2 linked regions of the Arabidopsis thaliana genome follow. The protein of the gene in region 1 interacts with the protein of each later gene in a pairwise test. Each region holds a gene or a part of one and is shown on either strand. Other genes may lie near its edges.

Region 1 (3,839 bases):
AAGCCGTGTTTCAAAATGCAACTCCATCTTGTTCTTTTTCCTAACTTGTCTCCGAATGCGATTTCTTTATATTCATTGAATTGTAAATTTGCGACGTCTAGATTGTGATCTCTTGAATGACAATGGTATTGAAGAACTAAACCGGGACCAAGCTCGTTTCTAATTAGAACTTTATTTTTTGGACATGGGAACATGTCAAATGCTACATTCAATCCAAAATATGTTACAACAACAAACATAAAAATTATAAAACGATTCATTTAAGAGTAATTTGAGACTCCAGTTTGAATTTGATGACATCAATAATGCATTATATATAGTTATTAGTGTGTTAGTATTTTCTTATGGCCTTAACTAAAATTAGTTAAATTGAAACACAAACATGAATTATTAATATATAGGTATTGCCGAAAAAAGTATGGTTGACCAATCCCAATGGATTCAACCTTACAAATCATAGGTGATCCACAAACATCTAACTAAAACCAAAATATTTAAGATATAACAAAAAAATCTTGCAAGTGTACTATTTTAACAGGACAAGTGTATCTTGTAATACGGAAGATTTCGAAAATTTGAACTCCCGATTTCAACATAACAAAATAACATCTGTCCTCGGGCCTATACAGGCCCAGTAAGTCTAACGATAAATGAGCCTTAATGGACTAGATTTAAAACTTTATAAAGGGGCCAAGGCGTTCACAAACCCAACAGTAGGTACAGAAGGCTCCTGGTAATAACTGAAAAGCAACGCAACCACATAGCAAAGACAAGTTACTTGATCCAAGAGAGCTGTTTCCTTTGTGTGATGTTGTTCGATTTTGACCTCAGTGTTTATGAATTCCTGAGTAAGATCTAGTCTTTAACTTCCCCACCTTGGATACTGTATTCACGAATGAGCATGTTTTTGTTCCTTGGGAGATTCCATAATTGGTCTGATGCATATAGACATGTGTTTTTTTTTTTTGGTGTCATATGTGCGCTGTGAATCTTGTGATATTTTAGAATCTAAAAAATATACACGCACAAGAAAAGCTTACGACCACATATATCAATGGGTTCCAGTTTAAAAATTTGGTGAGTATTATTAAGAGAGTCGGAGAAGAAATATTTGAGCGTGGTTAAAATATTAAGAAAAGGAAGAGACATGGAGACGATGTCTCAATTAAGGGGGCAAGCCTCTCTGGCCAATTACAGAGAAAAGGGCCCTTTTAGATTCTCTTCAAGATCTTCTTTTTTTTTTTCTTGTTTTTTTTGGTATAAATCACACATTTACTACAAAAATGCACTTATAATATTTAGTGTCAACTCATAATTGCTAAAACATTTCTCTCGTGTTTTCCATAGCAAGGTGCCAAAAACGAATTGATCAAGAAAAGTAAATGTTTTACATTAGTTACTATAGAATTTAGATCATGGTTTGTTTAAGATTTAGAACTTGGTGTAGGAACTAATAATTCCCTCGTGATATATGACAAATTGACAATGACATTCACCGTTACGAAGGATCGAATTTTGTCAAGAAAAAATATTTTCTAAACTATGGTATGAAGACAATATACATATACTACTCATTACTCTTGAATTTTATTTTTGTTTTTCCTTTGTAGACTACTCATTACTCTTTAGATTGAGATATCAATTAGAAACATACAAATCACACACAAAATAGTGGGAAACGGCAAAGGAGAGAATTTGTTGGCGGAAAATTGTCCACAACATTACAAATGAGTAAAGGTCACACAAAAGAGATCCTTTTTTCTCATATGGCAGCGCCATGAAAATGGTCACATGGAATGCTTTTTTGGTAAATTTTCTTTTCTCTTTTGCTTATTTCACTCTCTGAGTGCTTTTTTCCCTTTCTCTGCTTACCTTTAAAATAAAATAAAACCACATGAATTCTACCGCAACCACTTGAAACAAAAGATTCAACATCACCCTTTATTTCTCAACTTATCAAAAATATATATATCAATCGTCTATATTCTTTGACCTTTGGAGTTACAATGTATAAACATAGAAAATATATTTGCATCGCTCAGCATTTTGACTATTAAAGGGCATAATTTTGGAGCTTCATGCCAAGGCAAAAAGATAAAGAACAATCACATGAATGACAAAAGATTAAAAACAAAAGATTTTTAACTAATGAAAAAAAACACAAAAAACAAATACCGGTAAATAAGGGCAAAAGTGGAATTAAGTGTTATAGCTCCGCTGGCGATTGGCAGAGATATAAAAACTGATCTCTCTCCATTCATCTTCTCTTGTTTCTAACTAGTCACATTGAGAGAGAGAGAGAGAGAAAGAGAGACTCTCAGAATCTGAAGAAGAAGAAGAGATTGTTGTTTTTGCCTTTTATCATCGGTTTCTTTGAATCTCTGGTTTTAAATCGGATTTAATGGTGGAGTCTCTGTTCCCGAGCATCGAAAACACAGGTGAATCGTCTCGAAGAAAGAAGCCGAGGATATCAGAGACGGCGGAGGCGGAGATAGAGGCACGACGTGTCAACGAAGAAAGCTTGAAGAGATGGAAAACGAATCGTGTGCAACAGATCTACGCTTGTAAGCTCGTCGAAGCTTTACGCCGAGTTCGTCAGAGATCTTCCACCACCAGCAACAACGAGACCGATAAACTCGTCTCCGGCGCGGCGAGGGAGATACGTGATACGGCGGATCGAGTTCTAGCTGCGTCCGCTCGTGGTACGACTCGGTGGAGCAGAGCGATTTTAGCGAGTCGCGTCCGAGCGAAGCTGAAGAAACATAGAAAGGCGAAAAAGTCAACGGGAAATTGTAAATCGAGAAAAGGTCTCACGGAGACGAATCGGATTAAGTTACCGGCGGTTGAGAGAAAACTGAAGATTCTTGGCCGTTTGGTTCCTGGTTGCCGGAAAGTCTCTGTACCGAATCTTTTAGATGAAGCGACCGATTACATCGCAGCGTTAGAGATGCAGGTTCGAGCCATGGAGGCTCTCGCCGAACTTTTAACCGCAGCCGCACCACGGACGACGTTGACCGGAACTTAACGGCGGCAGTTAGTTTGTCAGTTGTTAATTAGCTTTTCTTTTACCTTTTTACCCCTTTATTTTGGCTTCAAGTGTTTTTTTTTTCTCGTCGACGCGATTTTAATTTATTAAATTCATGTATTTTATTTGTATACATCATCACTTCTTTTTTTTTGTATCCATTTTGATCTTTCTTTGTTTTTTCGTTAGATAATCAAAGTTATCTAAACAATAACAACAACAAAATGCCAACTAATGTCGATTCCAAAAATTGTTTAACGCTTTAAAAAAAAATTAGACCTACAAATTAAAGAAACTAAAAAGTAAGGAGAAGAACAAATAATTTGCAAGTTGAAGCAATTCAAAAATGAGCATGTGCGTGTAACGTGTTGAGGACACCCACCTTAATTTTGGGGCCAATGGACTCCATGTGATTCTCAAAGACTTTTTCCGACGTTGAAGTTTATGTCGAAAAGTGTATTTTTTGCTCAAAATGCCCTCAAAATCTTTCAAACTGATTAGAAAAAAACATTTACTTGAATGTCAACATTAATTATGATAACAAGGAGTAGCATACGACTCTTCAAGAGAACTGACATTATGAAAAATTGATGATTATGGTATAAAATACAAGTTAGTAAAAGTTAGTTGTCAGAAGAAATCCACTAGGAATAACATTGAAAGAAGTGGTGAGCAAAAAGGACCACAAAAATGGAACCAAAAGAAGAGGAAACAATAAGATTGAGAAATGAGTCTCTTGGAACATCTTTTTTCCCTCTTTAAGACTCCCCACGTGTGCTCTTTCTTTTAACACCCAATATGTCTTTCAAAAGCA
Region 2 (4,050 bases), 6.4 Mb from region 1:
GGGGTTATTTTCAAACAAAACATGTATACATATATACTAATTTCAAACTTTAAAGATACCAAACCATGCAGAATCAAATTATGTCAATACAAGTCTTATAAAAGACAAATACATATTTTCATTATTTAGCTTAAAAAATTAAGAAAATTTTGTAATTTTATTTTGTTTTTAATGAATAAATAGATCAATCTTGTCCTTTTTATTTATGGTCCTCTGTAAACAATGACAGCAACGATGGCAAATAAATAAAGTATTCAGAAGTTAAAATACACACATATATATAGATCAAGACCTATATCTTGTTGACAACGAAAACAAAGAAAGAAGATTAATAGATCAAATCCGAGTTAAAGCAAACATCTACCACATAATAAATGCAATGCAAAATCAACGAACTGAATCCAATCGACAATCAAATGCCTATCTCTGCATCTACCACATGCTACGTACTCAAAATCAGATTTTTATGGAAGGTATTAAAAAAATCAGAGTTGTCAACTGTAATTACATCCAAAACATGATCCGTAATTTGGCTTCAACATTTTTTGGTGTTTTCTTGTACCATATGTCCTACACTCTTTTCATGATATAGACCACCACACTAAAGAAAAATAATAATTAATCTTATAAATGACAGTGATTTTTTTTCTTTTCACGATCATGTATAGGATAACAATCATATTATTTTCAAAAATATTTGGATGTTACATTACATCAAAGGTCAAACATGGATGTGTGAAGAACAAACTTATACATGTTCCAAAACCATTGAATTTCCAAAAAAAATCAATGTAAAAGTTTGAAAGATACAAAAAAAATGGTAAAAAAGAGAGAAGTGATTAAAAAAAGGGACAATGAAGTAATACATATAACGTGGGGATGCAATGGTGGTACTGACAGAGAGAGAAGGCAAAGAGGGACAGTTTAGTTTGGCGATAAACACACATTTTGCCATTTTAAACCCCACTTGATCCCTCTTCTCCTTTCCATGGCCCTCCCCTCCTTTTCTACGTCCCTTTCCCAATTCTTATTTTAATTCTTTGTTTTTTTCTACTTGGATGCGTTGAGCCAAAAATGTTGCAATGAATTAATTCTACTTGGCCCGATTTTGGAAAGCTCTGTAGCTTTGTGGACTGACTTTGATTTGGTTTTGATTTCAGAGAGTGCGGATCAATCCATTGTTATACGTGTTTGGATTTTTTTTTGGGTTTAGCCAAAATCGAACCGAGTGACTTGACTTAAGCATAGTTGTATTTTTTATTATATATATTTTTTTTGGTCCCATCACTAGTCACTGAAAACCTCTACAATATCCCTTAAGATAGGTTCTAATCGTCGTATCATACGACTCGTATGAGACGATACAAACACTCTTTGGTAAAGTATCACTATTGGTTTAGCACTGGATCTTAGTTATTTGATACCCTTTCTATTTAGTTTCAAAATTTGAATTCTCCATGTCACATTCATTATACAAACGTTTTTTGTTGAACAAATTTTACATTCATTCATAAAAACAAAAGAATACATTATCACAAAACATATATAATAAGATAAATTATTAAATAGAATTTTTTTAAAATAGACATACAATAAGACTAGTCGTCTGATATAGACTCTGCACATTATACGGACTTACATTTGTAAACTCCATCAACTCTTATCCATCTATTGTTTAGTCATGTTCAATATTGAGAAAAATTAAAGGAAATTAACATGTAGCCTTTAAATTTTCAATAAAGGTCGTTAAGTTGAAGACTTGAAGTTGATACTACACCATGTGAATAGCTCGAAAGAAAGAAGGTTAAGTGGAACAGGAATAAGAGAAAGAGAGCAAGGAAAAAAACTTGACGTGGGTGAGTTTTACACATATAACAATCAAGAAGTTGTTCTCGTGGGAAAGTAAGTTTAGAAGCTTACCAAAAATAAACAGTATCTTTTTGTACTAAGCGACTATGAAAAAAACTGAGAACAAATAATAATAAATATTTGAAAGCTAAAGACACCCTTATTAAAGAAACATAACCCACACCCTCCCTCCATGCACTTGTCTCTTCTCCTTCTTATTCTTCTTCTTCTTCTTCTTGATCTTCTCTCTCTTCATAAATTTGCATTATAAAAACACATCCACTTTGCTCCTCCCTCTTCAACACCTTCTTCTCCACTCTCATTCTCTCTTTCTGACACATTAACTACTTATCCTTCTTGCATTCTTCTCTCTCTCTACACCCAAACAAACACACTTATAATATATCAAGAAAGAAGATGTCTAGCAGAAGATCATCACGTTCAAGACAGTCAGGAAGCTCAAGAATCTCTGACGATCAGATTTCCGATCTTGTTTCTAAGCTCCAACACCTCATCCCTGAACTTCGCCGCCGCCGTTCTGACAAGGTATACACTTCAAAATAACAAATTTTAATCTATCTTTCTTGCATATACATACTTATTTTGTATACTTGTATAACTTAGCCTGCACATGGACTTAGAAAGTTCAAATGAATAGGAACCATATAGTATATAATAACTAATTAATATGCATGGTGAAATCCAACGGCGTGTAGACATGTGGCCTACAATTAACTATACGTAGATAAAGTAACATTAATTCACAGCCTCATTTATGCATATATCTTGTTTGTTCTTTGAATGTTTTTTTGCAATTAAATTTTACAAGTTGGTGGTGTGGGACTCAGTTTGTTCCCTTCCTACTTCCACGTACCTTAACTACATGTCTCCCCATTACTCTTCTCTACCTATATACTCACCATAATTCTATATATAGCTGAGGAATATGATAAATAAATTGTGGCCGTTTATACCGTTGTGCACATTGAAGTGGCAATCATGAGAAAAAACTAAAGTTCTGTTAAAAGTTTGAAGATATATATGAAATTGTTACAAAGAAAGAAAAAAGGCAGTAGCACATGTTGTCACGTACTCTTTGTAAGGGATATAATGATCGTTTTTTGTACTTTAAAACTAATTGTAAAATGTTTAAACTATTGGACAGGTGTCAGCATCTAAGGTACTACAAGAGACTTGCAACTACATCAGGAACTTACACAGAGAGGTTGATGACCTCAGTGACCGTTTGTCGGAACTCTTGGCTTCGACGGACGACAACAGCGCCGAAGCAGCCATCATTAGGAGCTTGCTTAATTATTAAATCCGCATTACTTAATCTGAGAGCTATTAATCATCCGTTTCCGGCCACCAAATTTATCTTATTATGGGTATCGTCTGTTTACTTCTACATCATATATTATGAGATATAGCTAGGGTTTCGGGTCATTGTTAGGCCAACTCATATATTTATATTTAATATATGGTTATGTATGTATGTATGCATGTTAATTGTATCTGAGGGTCCAGACCTGGCGTATAGTAGCCTGTGTATCATGAGATCCTCTAATATTTATGATTAATGACACGGTCCGTTTCCTTTTTTACTATACTGATCTACTGTTATAAGTTTCGTTTATCATATCTTTTTCTATAATTAACAAGCTGAGGAGATTATCGGTGTATGCTCGAAATTTCTTAGTTGAAGAAATTAAGAACAATATATGTGTATGCCAAATAAATAAGTTATACTTGGAAGTATGTCAATACAATTTTATCAAAAAAAATAAAATGGTATGTATATACAATTTAAAAACGTGGAGAAGTTGTGTCTGAATTTAAATTGTTTAAAATATGATAGAAACAGACGAAGACCTCGATGTTTTCGAAGTCGTTTAGTTTGGATTATCTGTTTTTTAATGTTATCTGTAGTATATGGTATGGTCGTGCCATTTTATTTAAATCCTCTTGCATGTGATCATTAATGTGTTATCTTCGTCGTGTATATTATAACACGTATTGACTCGATAATTACGGTATTAGTGTGGTGTTATTAATGGAGTAGATAATTTATGATTACGTGTTAAAAGTAAAATGTATTGGGATATAAGGTTACATACCTTTTCTTTGAACAGAGAAATTCTTGCGCCTGAAAGTTAAATATAATCATGTACTGTATCAGTTCCCGTTTTTTTTCGGTCATTG

The links. The genes of interacting proteins can lie anywhere in the genome.
Region 2: the proteins of AT1G09250 (region 1) and KDR interact in a two-hybrid assay, tested with the Arabidopsis thaliana proteins (one large-scale study listed by BioGRID).

The regions. Positions count from the first base shown.
Region 1 is NC_003070.9:2,987,108-2,990,946, forward strand, and holds AT1G09250 (basic helix-loop-helix (bHLH) DNA-binding superfamily protein), read left to right. Parts: upstream 1-2,033; 5' UTR 2,034-2,401; coding exon 2,402-3,025; 3' UTR 3,026-3,320; downstream 3,321-3,839. Other genes in the region: AT1G09245 (Plant self-incompatibility protein S1 family), read right to left, coding at 1-260. UniProt on the Arabidopsis thaliana protein: Atypical bHLH transcription factor probably unable to bind DNA. Negatively regulates brassinosteroid signaling.
Region 2 is NC_003070.9:9,349,306-9,353,355, forward strand, and holds KDR (basic helix-loop-helix (bHLH) DNA-binding superfamily protein), read left to right. Parts: upstream 1-1,854; 5' UTR 1,855-2,265; coding exon 2,266-2,394; intron 2,395-3,013; coding exon 3,014-3,169; 3' UTR 3,170-3,528; downstream 3,529-4,050. UniProt on the Arabidopsis thaliana protein: Atypical and probable non DNA-binding bHLH transcription factor that regulates light-mediated responses in day light conditions by binding and inhibiting the activity of the bHLH transcription factor HFR1, a critical regulator of light signaling and shade avoidance.